Linked DNA regions of Schizosaccharomyces pombe. The gene in region 3 interacts genetically with the main gene of each other region. Each region holds a gene or a part of one and is shown on either strand. Other genes may lie near its edges.

Region 1 (6,136 bases), on a different chromosome or scaffold from region 3:
CTGAGGATTTATTTATTCGTATGGAACGCCACATACTTGATACTCTTGATTGGGATATCTCAATCCCTACACCAGCTTCGTATATTCCTGTTTTAGACCCGATTTTTTTCTTAGTACTTGATGCATCAATGTTTGTACCTAATTTATTCAAATTTCCCGCTTCCAAAATCGCATGTTCAGTTATGAACATCGTAAACGAACATGTCGGATCGTTTCTTTTGACACACCCTTCTATGGAATCCTATCGCAAAGATGATAACTTTTTGTGGCCTGAAGACTTGGATACCGTAACATCATATATGGAAAACATGTCAAAGAGGTATGCTAATGAGGAATGTACTGATTTACTGTTTTCCTCACTAGGCCGTATTTCTAGTATTTTAGCAAAGAAATATCCGGAACAATGCGCAATGGCTGCCTGGTGCAACATGACTGAAAAGGATACTGAGCGTACTTTGTAACTTTAACATTGCTTCTTCTTCGATTTATATATATTGCAATGCTTCTAGACAAACATGTAATGGAGATATAATTTCAAAATTATATATTTACTTGAGAAAAGTAAGTGTATAGTGATGTAATTTTTTTTAAGAATTTTTATAAAATTCATTATATTAATCAATTAAACTACTCTGTTATGTTCTTTGTTTTCCTAAACCGGTTTGCAACTATGCTCATATGACATTATACCGTTTGTATATATTTTTGTTATTTATTTATATGATACTTACTTAGTTTGCAAAAAGAAAAGAGAAAGTTCATAAGAAACCCCATATTACAGATTGAAGCAATTTAGGTCTTTAATAGATTTAATTTCTAAATTTGATTCTTCACCCATTAAAAGTAGTATCAGTGTTTCCCAATTTTAACAATGATACTGTGATTAAACAAAATACATCTCAATTCGAATAGAGACTTCTAAATATAAGTTAAAGCACGATAGTTGTTTTCTTAAGATGCAAGCAAAATTGATTAACTTTTCTTTCAAAAGAAAAATTAACCATGCATATGATTTTTTAGAAATGAAAGAATATTTAGTGAGTTTTTTTTAATTTTCTCCACTTGTTTATACCTTGCTCAAAGGACGCACGATTAAGGCCATCAGGAACTAAACAGAATGTAACACCAAGTCTTTCAACCTCTCTGTTCCTAGACTCATCATCAAAAAACACCATTTCTCGATAGTCAATTCCAGATTCGTTGTGGATCTCTTTGAAGTGATCCATTTTACTACCTATTTCACAATAACTAGTTAGCAATATGATTATTGATATTTTCTGTATTGACAAAAATGTATTAAAAGACATACCTGGCCAAGCTTTTACATAAGTGAAAAATTCGATAGCCGGCTTAAGACTTCCATCTATTGGTACCTTCATCAAATTCAATGCTTGTTTCGCATACTTGGGAGCACAAGTACGGCTAGCAACGCACAAAGTAACTTTTTGGTTCCTTAGCTCTTGTAAAATTCCAGTTATATCTGAGTAAAAACAAATCTCTGTGCCATATTTGTCAATCAAAACGCCTGGGTCATTTTTGGAAGGCTTAAATGGTGCAGTGACTGTGAAACTTTGTTAGAAAATAAAACATAAAGTAGATCAAAGTAAAAGATTTAATACCATGGGTATCTATCCAAAGAGGCCACAGAGTGTAGTCTAAGTCAAAAACAACGCATTTTGGGAATTCGATATTTTTTACCATATTTGCTTGATATTTTATGGTATTGGTTATTAGGTTCGTAAACAACAAGAATGAAAGTCTTTTTAAGAGTGATTTCAAGTTCAAAAGATTGACCGTAACGCTTTCAAGAAGTTTACTGCCAGTTTGCTAGTTCGATAAGATTGACACAATTTTAGTTGGTACGTTGATGTAATCCAATTTTTTTTAAAGAAAAATATATATATTCAACTTTTTTTGCATTAGTAATGAAAAAAACTTAGGAAACAAATGTTTGAATTTCATTAACTTTTATGAATTATTATTATTTAATTTAACTGTCTTTGATATTCTCAATAAACAAATAAACTGATACCAAAAAACACTGTGTAAATACCATGTTTTATAAAATTGATCAAAACTGTATACTACCAAATTACAGTCAATTAATCGTTGTCATTAACATATTCATTTAAACAATAAATTTTTTTACTGCATTTAATACATTTATATTAACCTGGGGACTTGACAGAGCTTACTAGCAAATTTAATTTTGCTGATGCATACTATTTAAAATTGAAGTAGCATTGCTACTTACCACCTTCGGGTACCTGTGACCGACAGCGAAATTGATTTACCTATATGAAAATCTTAAATGTAGCAATTGTTATTATGCGAAGTTTATGTGTCCCTCTGACTTTTCTAGTCGTTCTTTGTTTTTAGAAGCCAAAGAGGAAGAGTATAAACAAAGAAGGCGTGTTCCTTTGGACAGTAGAAGAAGAGTAAGGCGGGCATGTCTGTCTTGTCGGGCCAAGAAAATTCGATGCAGTGGTTCTGAACCATGTCAGGCTTGCATTGCTACGCCTTCGCAATGTAAGTATGCTGATTCTTTAAAAGAGCGTACTCCCTCAAAACAATTTATTGCGGAACTGAGTCAAAGGCAGAAATGCTTCGAATATCTGATGGAATTGCTGTGTCCTTCTCTTCCTCATGACACACGTAGTTTAGTCAAACTATGCAAACATGTCGAATCTTCATTAGCTTCTGGAAGCGACGTTCGTTCTTTGCTAATACCCGGGTCAATTGATCAATCTGTTTTAAAGGTTGCTGCTACAAACAATAAAGACGATTCGTCTGCTGTCAAGTCAGCAAACGTTTCTTTTCCTTCTTCATCTACTCCCCCCTCTTCGGATTCAAATTTCTCATCTATTCAAAACACTGATCTTAATACTTCCATCAAGTTTACTGAAAATATATCTGCTAATGCAATTCATGTGAACCAAGATAAGGTTATTAGAAGTGCCAATAATTTAATAATCAATTCCCAACCCATACTTCCTGTACGTTCATTCTTAGATGCTCTAGGAGAACCCATATATTTAAGTCCGACGTCAAGCACTTATTTTTTAAATTCTGTTTTAGCATCCTTACAGTTAAATTCAAGCAATACCCCAGAATCACTGCTCATTGACTATCAAAGTAAAATTCCGGAGGATCTCTCTTCCTCTTTATTGCCTTTAGAACTAAACACACTTCAATCGACCCCTACTTCAGTATCTGTAGGTTCAGCTTCTTCACAAGGAACTCATGAATATTCAATTATAAATTTGACCTCCAATCACTCATCTTTTTCATTAAAAGCTCTAAAGAAAATAGCACATAATTTGTTACCACCGGTTTCTGTCGCAGAACGTTATGCAAATGAGTTTTTCCTCCGGTATCAAAGTTTTTTTTACTTTTATCCTCCATCTGTTTTTTCTAACCGTTACCAAATCCTTGCAGATGGTTTAGTTAACTCAGATACGTTGGATACAGGATTTCTTGCTGTTGCTCTTTTAATTGTTGTGCTTGGTCACTTCTCAAATAACAACATTAATGTATTGCCCAAGGAAGTTCAGCTTAGTCATATTGATTCAATGATACAGATTTCAGAGCAATTAATTAGCTCTTTATTAAATCGCTGTACCCTTTCTTCTATTCAAGCTGTCTTTTTACTTTCACTATATCATTTTTTAACTGGAAATTTTAAATGTGCATATTCTTATTTAGGTTTTGCAATACATTCCGCGCATACCCTTGGTTTGGAGCATGGTTCAACTGATAACAGCACATTAAATGAAGTTTCAACTGAGGAGACTAGTATTCGCATATGCTGGTCCTTACGTGTTTTAGCCAGTTTTTTGTACATACAGTCTGGAATTACTCCTATCATAAATTTATTTCCAAATGGTCTGAATTCTTTAAAACTTCCTACCGTTGTCCCGGAGCTGGAGGCTCGACATTTACCTTCATCCGTTTTTCATTTTGTCGCTATAATAAAATACGCTGAGATCTCCGTACGGTCTCTAAATTCACTGTATGAATCAAGTTCTGATTATTTGATGGATGTCTCAAATTTTCCTAAATTACTATTAAAAGTTGAAAGAATCTACTCCCAAGCTCGTAATTGGAAGTTAAACTTAACCCATCAACAGCTTAATGGAACGAATGACACTTCAGATCTCCTTTTTCATTCCAACGTTAGCTTACATTTATTTTATCACTACCTAATTGTCAAGGTAAGTTGTCCCATTATGTTTTTCTATTTAAATAATTGGTATTCTGTTAAACCTTCTTCATTTACGAAAGGCCTTAACAATAAACCAAGCTTGGAAGATGTGTTTTCCAATTTGGAAACCTGCTATGAGTCTGCAAAGGCAATTGTTCAGTTATCATCGAAATTGTTATCTGCTGGTCAGATGGACAAGTGTTTTTATTTGGAGTTTGAAATTTTATACTGTTCGGCAATTGTGTTATTTTTATTCTCAGTTATGCACCTTGGTGCAGAAAACCCATTACTTGAAAGTATTTATTTACTGGAAGATATGGGATCACGTACTATCGATTCAAAGGTTCGACTTGAAAAGCTTAAGAGTGCAATCGAAATATTTGATATAAACTCAGCTACTGAAATGCCTATAAACGAGCCATTATCCGCTTCTTTTGAATCAGTCAACAAAGAAAACAGCCAGAGTGGATATATGGCTTGGCAAAATTGGGTTACAGAATTAAGCTCGTCTAACATTCCTTTAGGTCATGCTTTGGGTAATCCTGAGTCGAACAATTCATCTAACTCGTTCAAACCTTCTCATCCATCTCAAAGTTTTTTGGTCAATGAATCACTCGATTTTTCTTCGAATCCTAAGGAGCCTCCATTCCTTCCGTGGTCCGAAGCATTGCTAAATATGGATATGCAATTGAATCGTTTAGGACCATAATGATCTTATTGTTTAAACATAAGTTTTATTTTGAACGTTTTCGTTTTGTTACATATTGTTATACTTATACTTCATTATCATTAATAATGCTAACTCTAAATAAAAACTTTTTAGTCTATAATAATATTTGGACCGCTAGCTATATTGACTGTTCCGTATTTCTTTAACATAGTCTTGAAGTAGCAATACTGCTGATTTTGTAATTTTATAATGTTTTTAAAAAAAATGAATAAACTGTCATTAAAACGCTTCATGAAACTATCAGTAACATCAATTTTGCCGTAATAAAAGTTTTGTTATAACCGATATCTATACGATTCTTGAAGGAAGTGTCAATTTTTTTTTTATATTAGTATTAACGATTGAAAATGAACAAAATAAACAACAGCATCCAACAATAATCATTTACATGATCTTTTTTTATTTTTAAGATTCACAAAAGCTGGTAAGATACTGTTAGCTTTTAAAACCATTTCCTCATATTCCCCTTCAGGCGAACTAAGAATAGTAACAGCACCTCCAGCACCTATTCTCCAATAATCATCAGCTTTGTACTTAAATGCTGATCGGATAATAACGTTGAACTCAGCAGAACCTGTTACATCCCAATAACCAAGCGTGCCAGAATAAATTCCTCGACCATGTTGCTCCAAAGGTTCAAGCATCCTCACGCTTCTTAACTTAGGAGCCCCAGTCATTGAACCGGGAGGAAAACTTTTTGACAAAACATCCCATGCAGTTATTGGGGACTCAATTCTTCCATATATATTTGATAAAAGTGAGTATACATTTGAGTGTTCTTCAACAGAGTATAGTTCAGGTACATGAACACTATTTTTTTTTGCCAACTGATGCAAGTCATTACGAATGAGATCTATAATCATGTTCAATTCCCCCATATCTTTTTCATTTAATAGCTTCTTTCTTGCTTCCTCCAAAGACATGTGTCCCTCTCTTTTTAAAGTTCCTTTTATGGGTGAAAATAGGCAACGATCGTCTCGAAATTGTAAGAATCTTTCTGGAGAACAACAGAGTAGAGTAAAATGGTTCAACCTTACAAAACCTGCAAACGTAGCAGGATTTAAAGACCTTGCGCGCATATACATCTCAAAATCAGAAAGCTCTGGAGGTGCCGAAACAAATGTCGTATCCGTTAAGCACATTTCATAAGAATCACCGGCCAAGAGATGTTCTTGGCAGGCTTTCACAGATTCACAGTATAC
Region 2 (5,001 bases), 660 kb from region 3:
CTGGCTGCTGATTAGGTGAAGGAGAAACCGTAGCAGCTTTTTGAAAATATGTCGAAGTGAATAAAGACCAAGCATAGTGAAAGGACTCCTTATTATTCATTGGTAAAAAATGGAAAGCGGGATGCCCAAGTTTTGATAAAGCTGCCCTTTTTCGAAAAGCTAGTTGAGCCTCCGTACACGTACCATCATCTTCTATATTTGCCATATTGTCACTAAGCCTTTGCCAAAACAGTTCTGATGGATGGGTGTATTTGTACAAGTAAGAACCAATGGTAAATGTCACTATGGTCTGTGCTTCCTCCGTCTTCGACATGGATCGACCATCACCATAGTATACATCATGAAATAAATCATTGTAGGAGTTAATAAAATACGTTAAAGCTTCTCGACGATCTTTTGACATATTCTGTCTAACTGAAAGTTGCTGTACAAACTGTCGCAAAGAATCTATTGTCCACTCTATGCATAAGCTAGATCTTGATTTTTCACTTGCTAGCTCGTTCAATGGTGAAACAACGCTTAAATGCGCATGTCCTACATTAGGAGGTTTCTTCTTATGCTCATCCTTATCTTCTTCGGGGCTCTTGCAGCAAGTTAGGATTCTCCATAGCATCACAAGTTTGATTATTTGGACAGATAAGTTTAAAATTGGAAAACAAAACGACCGCGCGAGATATAAAAAATCAACAATAAAAAAAAGATTAAAAAAATAAAAAACAAAAACAGAACTATCTAATACTCAGAGGTTGCCGTAGTAAGGGTTTTATTGATGATGACAAACGACGGGTTATGTTAGCAAGGTGAGCAGTATTGACAATTAAAATCAATTAATAATTAATAGCTTGCCTAATGAAAAACATTAAAAGAATAAACAGCGGAAAGGAAAGAGATATAATGCGATATTGAAATGATAGACGGTGCATGCAGTCGTAGTAAACTGAGGATGCACTACTGATGAGTCAAGTCAAATGATACTAGTAGTATATATAAACTCATACACACTAAAATACTATAGTAAGTACATTGAGTATGACTACAGAGCATCTATTGAAGCACTAATGATAATACTAGAAACAAATTGTCTGCTCAATTCATTTTGCTTGTATCTTCTTATACTAAAACAAAAACTTTCATATACAAACAAAAAACCATGGGACGTCTCAAGGCGTTGCTCTTGTAAACTCTAAGAATACATTTGACGATCCACTTCATCAAACGTTACAAGATTTACTAAATAAGCAATCCAACTTTTCATATGTTAAACTGCTTAGTGAAGGAAAAATAAACAGCAGAAGCGAAATAAAATCTGAAACATACATTTACACTTATAAAGATAAGTAGAAGGCTATAATATTACGCGTTTGTCCTTTAAAATCATTTTTGCAGGAAATCATCAATGCGTGCATTGGAAACCTGTGAGGTATGCTGCCTTGATGCCTCAAAACTAACGTTAACAATGGTAGGACGATACAAAAAATAAGACCAAAGAATATTTAAATAAGAATTATACTAAATCGAACTGCAATAAAATAAAAGCCCGCTCCCAACCGTATCCGTCCATCCTTGAATTTTTTAACCAACTTGCGAAAGACAAAAGAAATAATTTTCTCAAAAAAATAGTACTTTTTTAATCCTCTATTATCCAGAACCTTTGTATTAACGTTTTAGTTTTTTGTCAGGGTTTGCCTCTTTTGATGAATTTACTCTTTAAGGCAACAAAGCTTAGAAACCAGCACGAGGAGATGCCTTGTGTTTCTTCTTTTGAACCTTGCTTTTTCCTGATCCCTTTTGAGAATCCTTTTCATTCTCGACAGGACGCTTATTTTGTCGTTTTTGATTCAAGTCACCGGCTTTCCTCTTCTCACGCAAATCCTGAATCTTTGATGCTAGTTTACCTCTGATCTGTGACATGCTTTCAGCATGACGATCTGAAACATCTGTATCATCACTCATAGTCGAAGACTGTTCCCACTTTGAAGATTTTTGACTATCATCGTCCGCATCGTTAACAAGACCATCCAAGCTAAATTTCATTTTTCGGCGTTCTTTCTTCTCCTCTAGCGTAGATTTTTTCTGTTTCCATTGATTCTAAATTGAACAGTTAAACATAATTATTCCAAATATCTCACATACCGCTGTATGCTCGCGATAGTAGAGCTTTGCAGGGATATAACTTAAAAGCTCTTCGAACCCGTCATTCCAAGCATTAATCCTTTCCTAATATACTCAATTAATATATAATACTTAATGTCTATGTCTTACTTCGACTTCTGTCATCTTTTTAAGGGTTTTAGAGATTTTGACAGGAGAACACCTAGTTGGTTGAAAGCGAATACACATCTTGAAAAGAACCATAACATAACTTCAATCGACAACGTTTATAAAACATGGTAAATGCACAACAACTTGAGCTTTTGATACAAAATACATTAGAACCTACCCACATTGTACGTTGAGCAAAATTTTTATTTTTATTTTTTGGTTTCACATTACTTTAAGCAAACCATTTTACTGATACTTATATAGGAGATCCAAGATATGTCTGGAGGATGTGGCCAGAACTTCGAAGTAATCATTGTTTCCCCTCTGTTTGAAGGGAAAAGCACGCTAGCTCGTCACCGTCTTGTGAATCACAAACTTCAAGAGGTGATCAAGGATATCCATGCCTTTACTCAGGTTCGTACTCTAAGTTTCAGGCATATAAGATAGAAAAAAGAAGAAGGAATCTGAAAAAAAAAAATGCTTTCAACTATTCTTAATCAGTTACTAACTTTAAATGCAGAAATGTTATAGTCCGGCACAATGGGAAGCTCTTCAAGCAAAATAATACCACATATTCTAATGCTTTCTCTTTTACTTCCTTTCTATTTTCGTGACAGCTCTTCAAAGCAATTGGCATACTTTTAATGTACAAATTACTTTCTTTAAAATAGTTGTAGCACCCCTTATTCCCTTACAGAAGGTACATACTAATACCTTCTTTTTTTTTTTTTTTTTTTGAAGCATGTCAAATTGCCCCAGAGAAAAGATATGGTTTATTATAACCATATATACCTTTTGCTTTAAAGTTCCTAATACATAGGATGTTTTGGCAAATTTTTAGAGAGCACTACATAAATTGTATAAGATGCTGCTAAGATTTTTGACTGTTCGATCTCCTTTGTTTATACGAGTAAGGGGATCTATCAAGGATTTATTATAAATAATATGCATACCTAGCCCTTGTCACCAAATTGTGTTTTCTTAACCTAAAAGTTTTGATAATTTTATCTCATACTAATGTTTCAATACTTCTTTCACATAATTCCATCACTCGAAAGGTAATTGCTCTTCTTGTTAAACTACGATTACTTCAAAAATCAACTCGAAACTGTAAATTTGAAGAATCAAAGAGTTGTTCTATACTAAGCAAATAATAATAACACTCTAACTTGAGTATTTCTTTGCATAAACGACTGTGATAATATCAATGACAAACTCATTAACAAGAAAATGAAGACTGTATAAATGATTTTTTTAATACATAATATAATGAACAACTTTTCAAGACTATTCTAAACTTTCGTACCATAAATATGATCGATATCTCTTCCAATACTACATCCGTTTCTCTTTTATTCCATTACATATTGCATACTTCATAATATTTCCAAATTGGGATTTTCTCTTGTCCATATAAAACAAAATGCTGCCAGTATGCAAAATTTTATCATAGTCATAATGATTTTGTTTTACTAACGTTATAGAATCTTAGACGAATATTTGCATCCTTTCGCACGGAGGAAGAAGAACGCTCTTATTCTCGTAAAGCAGTATGTCAACAAAGTATCGTATTCATTAATTATACACTAACAAACTAAAGTTTTTTCATCTTATCGGGTATATCACATGTAGCGTCCTCTTTAGCTGGCTGGTGCGAAAAAAGGTGATTTCCTCACCTGTAGTGTCTTCTCCTATACATGCGTTATCGTAATCTGTATTTAATACACATGAAAGTTTATGATTTACAAATTTCTTGAGCTGTATCTCACGGATATAGTATGTCTTATTTTGAATGCCGGCTTCTTCAATCCGTATGCTTTCGACAGTGTCAAGTTGAGTTTGCGCAAATTCGTGTCAGTAGCATAATTGCTGCCAATTAGCTATACTATTAAAAAGCCCGTGCAAATACCACCTCATTTTGGCGTGTATAATAATTACGAAACAGCTAATATACCTACACGGATGTGACATTGACAAAGACATATTACCATTCGTATCCAGTTTCCAATTTCAATAATACTTTTCTTTATTTACAAGATTTCACTTTACCACACATGCTAGCTATGAAATTATATTGAAGATAAAGCAAAACATAATACTTTAATATGTTTTCCTATCGCACGCTTGATGAATATACTGGAAATGCCATTTTTTTTTAATTCAATCAGGTGCTGAAAACATAGTAAATTCCATCTTCACAGAAAATGATTAGATGAAGTATATACAAACAAACCCTCCCCGACTAAAGACATTGTCCGTCTAAAAAACATGGCAAAAATTAAGTAAAAACAGAACTTGCCTCAAAAGACACATCATTATAAAATAAGACAGAAAGGAAAAAAATTGCGTTAAAAGGGAATATTTTATATTTTACAAAGATCAGCCAAAGAACCAGAAAATGCCTTTAGTAAATCGTCTCGATAGTCATAAGAAACCCCAGAATATCTAAACGGATGAAATAAAGAAAACACACACATAAACTTAGGCTTGAGAAGTTTTGGAAACACGAATCAAAATTTCTTTACCTGCTTCGTAAGCAGCCCAAGAAACCGCCGTAGCCGGCATTGCTACTACCATACGAGGCCTGATTCCCTTAAAGAAAGACGGTATTCCACCATAATTATAAATAAAACGTACCACGTCCAAGGAACCCTTACATTTTCGAACTTCAGGAATTGACGACGAACCACGAGTTTGGAGAAGAGTTTTCACGACATCAAGAGGGGTGGTTAAGCTTGA
Region 3 (6,658 bases):
ATCGTTACCAGTCAACGAGTTAGCGAAACTCTGGATGAAGCATTAAAACAAGAAGATGAAACGGAGAGGCAGAAAATATTGATGGAAACACCAATATTTACAGTAGGTCCGGCGACTGATGATAGTATTCGACGTCTCGGTTTTCAGCAAACACATGGAAAGGACTGTGGAAGGGGTGAGGTTTTGGCAGATTTAATTGAAGAGTGGTATACTACGACTAAACAACATAAGCCCTTACTTTTCCTTGTAGGGGAAAAGCATAGGGATATAATTCAAAGAAAACTGGGGGACGACAGAGTAGATTCATTAATCGTATATGCTACGCAAGAATTAGAAAATACAGAAACCCAAATAAAGGATACGATTAGAAAACATCCTACAATTGATTGGATTGTCGCATTCAGTCCGACATCCATTTGCTCTTTATTAAACACATTTGAATTAAAGATCGCAACCATTGGACCTACTACTGGAGATTATCTAAAGAAGCTGGGAACTCAACCGAACGTTGTATCTCCAGCACCTAATCCAGAGAGCTTGGCATCCAGCATAGTTGCCTTTGATGAGGAGAATTCTAGTTGAAGCTTTTTATCTGAAATTTACTTCACGAAATATTAAGGCCTTCAATACCGGTATTTCGAGATCTTCTTTGTTACAGTATAAATCGACGAGGTTGGGAGGCATGGGGGATGCTGTAGGCTCATCACTGGCATCATGATAAGCAGCTACATACGGGTGCTTTAGAGCCTCTTCTGCAGTTATACGCTTATCAGGATTAAATGTCAGTAATTTTTCTAAAAGGTCAATAGCATCTGGTGATGCCTGAGGAAAGAGTGCTTTGAATGATACTTTAGGAGTAAATGGAAGACTTTTAATATATTTCCTCGCACGTGCAGATTTAATTCTTGAAAAATCGTCCATAGTAGGCGTTCCTAGAATGTTAAGGATTAAAGTAATTTGACTATGATAGTCCTTTCCTGGGAACAATGGTCGAGCAGAAAGCATCTCAGCAAGTATACAACCAGTACTCCATAAATCAATAGCTTTGCTGTATTCTCGGAAACTCAGCATAATTTCCGGTGCTCGATACCAACGAGTTGCGACATACTCAGTCATAAAGCCAGGATTTCCGCCTTGAGCTGTGGTGGAACGTGCCAAACCGAAATCGGCAACTTTGAGATCACAATTGGCATTTAGTAGTAAGTTTGATGGCTTCAGGTCTCTATGAACAACTCCAGCACTATGCATGGCTTTCAGAGCGCGCAAAATTTGATACGTAAAGTATTGACAATGATCATCGCTTAAGGGCTGCGAACGTATAACACGGTACAAATCCGTTTCCATAAGCTCTTGTACAATATAAACATCTTCCAATTCCTGGTAGCTCGGTGGTGGAAGGATGTCTAGAATTGAAATTATATTTTCATGACGAAAATGTCTGAGTAACTTGATTTCCCTTAAAGTTCTTAGACAAAACACAGGATGATTGAAAGGATGTATTTTTTTAACAGCCACCTTTAGGCCGCTGGGTTTGTGAAGCGCGGCACATACAACTCCATAAGCACCTTGACCGATGAGATTGATCATTTCGTATTCCTCTGGTAGCTCAAAGTTTAGATCATGCGTGTGTGGGCTTCGACTTGTAGCTACTGACTCCTTGTTGGAATTCCCATCCGCAATAGTAGGCGTGGAAGTAGCGCTCGCCATTAGACTACAAATTGAAAAACTTGAAAGAAATGAAGCGATATGAATAGATAAATAGAATTAAAAAGAATTACAACGTTCTTTGTAATAAATTATGTTATGCAATCCTTTGTGCTTTAAATCCGACAATATTGAAAAAAGTCGGTTTGCCAGCCAAAGACAGAAATAGACAAGGATGTATTAGAAATCCCTTTATCAAATTAGTTTAGTATTAAATTAAATAATGCGAAAGAAGGACGTTCGGCAGCACTTCAAAAACAGGCGCTAGCAACAATAATACAAATATTAGGTTGCAAGCTTATAAAATATAGGAATAACAAAAGAAATAGAAAATATACAAAAATCGTAAAAGGGAAGAATTTCAAAAAACCAGACAAATGTATCTTCGCAATTGAGATTAAAGGCCCACAATGGTTATTCAATAAAAAAATGATGCTTCAAATATTGCCAAGCAAAGATGCCTTGAGGGAATTGCAAAAGCGTCCTTCAAAACCGTCTCTAGCAATTTCTCAATTGCCCTTCCAAAACTGTTGAAAAGCTGTTGGTAATTGTTAAGTAGTGTGGTTGGACTAGTCAACATTTATAACTTACAATAACAAAGAAAGTTTCTTTGTTAATGTATTGCCCCAGAAACTTCATAGATACGAATCTTTAGACAGAATAAAGAAACGATGAGTGACATGAAATCAAAAAAGTAACACACATTTTAAGTGCGCGACGCGTCGCGCATATTCTTTGTTTACACTAACTTACAAACCTTCCATCTACCACGACAGAAATTAAAGGCAAAGAAATGCAATATTTTAAGACTATCTAAATCGAAATAATTAATTTACAAGGTAAGCAGAAACAATTGGTTATGCAAGGATATTTGAATGGGTTCTTGAAGAGGTTGAACAGAAACCGTATGATGGTTGTTTAATTTTATGTTCTCGTAATAATAATCTTATGAAAGTTTAAAAAGCATGAAAAAAAATAGATAAATCCGTTGAAACTCTCAAACAAAAATAGTTAAACATTCATAAATTTCCCTTGGCGTCCTTACTTCATCATGAATTGGCTAACCCGTTATTAGAAGGCATTGTAAATTAATGATGTTAGCTATCGACATGACAATAAATGAAAACCAGGGAACACGCTCAAATTTGGAAAGTCCTACACTTTCATGTAGCAGTAAGGGTGCAATGCAAGAAAGAGACGTTATGTTTACAGATCACAATACCTTCAATATCACTAATAATAAATCTCGGCCTGGAAGTTTAATGAAATCTATGAAAAGAAAAGATGTTTACGAATTTGATGAAGATAATGAGTTTGAGTTTGAAATGGGGTCACTTATACATAAGCCTTCACGTGCTCACTCCTTAGGAGGAACTAGTGAGCCTGTGTCAGATGACCATAAAGATTGTATGGAAGCTACACGACAGTTATTGGAAAATAGTCCACTTTCCTCTGTCGTTGTCAAAACATGTAGTGATCATGCATCAAAGCGTAAAATTGCGCGATCCTCTTCTGACGATTCTGAAAGCAAAGTTGAAAGCACAAACTCTTTCAATGCAAAGAAAAGAAAGGATGCATGGACAGAGGAGCATGAAAAGTGGTTTCAAGCAAGGATTGATGAATTGTTAACGATTCGGTCTATATCACGGGAGCAAATGATCGAGATATTGGAAGACGAACATGCTGGGAGTCGACTTCAAGGGTTTTTAGAGTCAGTAGCATCTTTTCTGAATCGAAAAGAAAATAGTTTACTAAAGTACATGCGTGCTTTTTTTCAAGTCGCCGGTTACGAAAAGATAGACATTGGAAGCTTGGCTGCTGAAGAGGATTCGCAACTTAATTTTTCTCTAGAAGACGCACAAGTGATTCAAAAAGTAGTTTTGTCTTATTGTAATAATGAAGGCGTAGATTTACAAGAGTTTGGCTTCCGGATGAGTTCTTCAAGCTTAAGACATACAAATATCAACTTTCTATACAACGAACTACGCGAATTGCTGCCTACTTCTATTTCAAGAAAAGGAATTATTCGTTATTTGAAGGAAATCTACAAGCCGTTGGATCCGAAAGATAGGAATGCATGGGAGGAAAGTGAGCTAAAAAAGCTGTACACCCTAGTTGAACAAGAGGGAACGCGGTGGAACAGCATAGCGAACAAACTGGGAACGTCACCTGCCGCGTGCATGAGTCAATGGAGGTTTGTTGTAGGTACTAGTACTCAGGAAACAATTGATCGGCGCAAATTATGGACGAATGAAGAGGAAGCAAAGCTATTAGACTTGGTAAAGTCTTCTTACCGGTCGTCTTTTCACACAAAAAAAATGACAAGCCTTTTCACACACAATAATCACACTACTTCAAACATACAACGGGAAATACCGGCATCTGATTCCATTGCATGGCATAGCATATCGAAGAAGCTTGGGACTAAGTCGCCGGAAAGCTGTCGAAAACAGTACGAAAAAACAATCGCATCTTATTCTTCTAACCAACGTCAAGAGGAGGATCAAGGGAAGAAAAGGAAGAAGAGAAAAAAGAAGAAATCAAAGGGTAAACGCAAATTTTACGTCGCGGATAGTTTAAAACTACTAGAACATGTACAAAGGCAATGCGGAGAAGCAATCTCCATAAATGCCATTGATTGGAAAGGCATTGTCAAGCAAATGCCAAAATGGTCCGAGGAGGAATTGAGAGCGCAAGCCACAAATTTGGTAGCGAGTGTTCGCGGCTGGAAAAAGACACGTTTAAGTGAGAGTGTGAGAATCGCAATTACAGATTTGAAAAGTCTTCCTCCTGACGTATAATAACAAATATTGCAGACGAAACGTTAATAAGTGCGCAAGAAAAAATAGTCAAAAAATATCTTTTTTGCTGGTATGTCACGTTTGCCCAGGTCATATTGAATGTTTTTCTTGGCTGTCTCAATTTTCCCACACAATATAATGATATTTCTCATCTCTTTTTGCGACAGGGGCGAAAATAGTTGGACTGCACTTCAAGAGCAACCGAACCCGTCTACCTGCAAAACGTACCTACACAAGAATTCTGCAGCATTAAAGTTTATATGGCAGAGCAATGGAGAAGAAGAGTGAGTCACCTGGTTCCTCTCCACATACTGGATACTGTTGATTTAGGTTCATTTGCGAACCCATCAATCATTTTACTTCTCGACATACTGTTGCCAATCTAAATTACTTTCTTTTCATACTTGTTCCAATTGCTGGTTACCTGATATCCTCTCTCGTCTACCTTAATCCGATTAAGTGCGATGTATTTGCAACATGCACGTGTGCATTGTAACCAGCCTCATTCCGAGCCTTTCCGCTTATTTATTTATTAAATTTTTAATGTATATTCGTTATTTAATTAATATCTAAGCATGGATCGTATGGTTACTAACTTATTTCTTACTTCATCCCTGATAATGACGGATAATAGATGCAAAAATGAATGGTTTGGTGGTGGCCAACGAAACAATCGACACTGCTACGGCTCTACTAAAACAAGTCACGTTCAACGGTTCATCGGCTAATATTAACTCAAAAAAAAAAAAGAATAAAATAAGTATAGTTCGGGGTCCGAGATTTCTTTGATAGTCCCTTGGACATTCTATTTTAGCATTTCAACTAACAACTGAAAGGGCCGGAAAATCTTTGAAATTTTTAAATCTGTTTAACTCATCCCAAAGTAATTGAGTGTCGGAAAAGAAATGGCCCGAACGGTTTTATGAACCGGTCCCTACTAAAGAATAACAAAATTCAAATATTGGAAAGGCAGGTTTTGGTTTTGAACGCAGTTGTTGGATTGAAAATATATTCCATTGTACTTTGTACTTGATAATCAAAGTAATCTTGTTGTTGATCATTAAAGGCGTATCAACAGTGTTGGGGAAAAAGTTTACCTTGAATCTTATCTAGCAGCGGAAACTAAATAATTATATTTATTAAATTGTTAGACCAGCCTAAAACTATCGGGATTAGCGTTGGGTAAGGGATTTACGGAATATTTACCGTATTAGGTTTTTTTTGAGTTTTAAAAATTTAACTCGCTAACATAACCGAAGCCTCGCACATATAAACTATCTTTCAACCTACTTGACTCAACTTTTCCTTCACCAACCGCAGTGTTGCATTAAGCAGCAAAACGTTGTCACCTTCGAATAGCGTCTTTTTGACGAATAAAAAGGTTGGACAACAAAATTAAATTAAGCAAATTTGTGTATAAACTAACAGCAAGTGAAGTTGTACCGGTTGTATGATTGAAGCATTGTAAACCAAAGAACAGCTACTTTGCCTTGTCGTACATTAGCTTTTTCCTTTGCAAAGAACTTTTAGGGACCTTTTTTTACCACAACTAGAGAACCGGTGTAGAAAGGTGTTCTATTTTAGTGAACGGATTCGTTTAATTTTTTCATTGAGAAAAAAATTTGATCTATCTTGATTTTTTCGACTGTTTCCATTTTTAACTATTTGTGACGTTTCTTATTGCCAAATTTCAACCTTGAGCATTGTTAAAAAAGCTGAATTTAAATTTCTTTGCTTTTAACATACAAGTGAGCTATTGGGTTTGTAAAGATTTAATACTTGATTGGAAGTTTTTTTGGTCAAGTCTGTTTTTTTTGGGTGTTTTTTTGACGATCAGTTGAAACCGCGAATAATAATATTTATTATAACTCCCTAAAAAAAGAAAGAAAATCATTTATTAAATAATTTTTACTTTCCTTCATTGTTTCTGAATTTTGCTTCTCCCTGCCGTTTAATTGTTTCATTTTCTTTTAGAAAGTACTAAAAGGTAATCAAATCGGCTAGTCTTGCAACTGAATTTTCTTTGAAGATAATATCTAGATTTAATTTTTCCCTGCTTGAATTTCCTAAGATCTTGCGTTCGTTCGGACTGAATTGCATAATTTATTGAAGGTCTCCATTCCTGTATACTTACTCGACTACCCATTTATCGG

Evidence for each region.
Region 1: mutations in eta2 (region 3) and thi5 together harm fitness less than expected from each alone (positive genetic interaction), as found in Schizosaccharomyces pombe (one large-scale study listed by BioGRID).
Region 2: mutations in eta2 (region 3) and rrp14 together harm fitness more than expected from each alone (negative genetic interaction), as found in Schizosaccharomyces pombe (one large-scale study listed by BioGRID).

What each region holds. Positions count from the first base shown.
Region 1 is NC_003423.3:3,693,898-3,700,033, reverse strand, and holds thi5 (DNA-binding transcription factor Thi5), read left to right. Parts: upstream 1-2,328; 5' UTR 2,329-2,339; coding exon 2,340-4,913; 3' UTR 4,914-5,070; downstream 5,071-6,136. Other genes in the region: G1 cyclin Puc1, read left to right, coding at 1-461; SPOM_SPBP8B7.31 (acid phosphatase), read right to left, coding at 997-1,061, 1,115-1,234, 1,310-1,561, 1,620-1,701; abz1 (para-aminobenzoate synthase), read right to left, coding at 5,315-6,136. UniProt on the Schizosaccharomyces pombe protein: Transcription factor that activates the nmt1 promoter. Regulation of thiamine repressible genes. Negatively regulates conjugation during meiosis, by inducing negative regulators which delay conjugation. Involved in thi1 regulation.
Region 2 is NC_003424.3:3,656,745-3,661,745, forward strand, and holds rrp14 (ribosome biogenesis protein Rrp14-N), read right to left. Parts: upstream 2,321-5,001; 5' UTR 2,278-2,320; coding exon 2,263-2,277; intron 2,218-2,262; coding exon 2,134-2,217; intron 2,089-2,133; coding exon 1,723-2,088; 3' UTR 1,067-1,722; downstream 1-1,066. Other genes in the region: protein mug129, read right to left, coding at 1-613; iron-sensor Fra2, read left to right, coding at 2,388-2,447, 2,527-2,676, 2,783-2,827; ermes regulator Emr1, read left to right, coding at 3,686-3,694, 3,747-3,812, 3,863-3,973; mrs3 (mitochondrial iron ion transporter), read right to left, coding at 4,744-5,001.
Region 3 is NC_003424.3:2,999,262-3,005,919, forward strand, and holds eta2 (RNA polymerase I termination factor, Myb family Eta2), read left to right. Parts: upstream 1-2,795; coding exon 2,796-4,505; 3' UTR 4,506-5,655; downstream 5,656-6,658. Other genes in the region: hem4 (uroporphyrinogen-III synthase Ups), read left to right, coding at 1-582; MAP kinase Spk1, read right to left, coding at 589-1,707.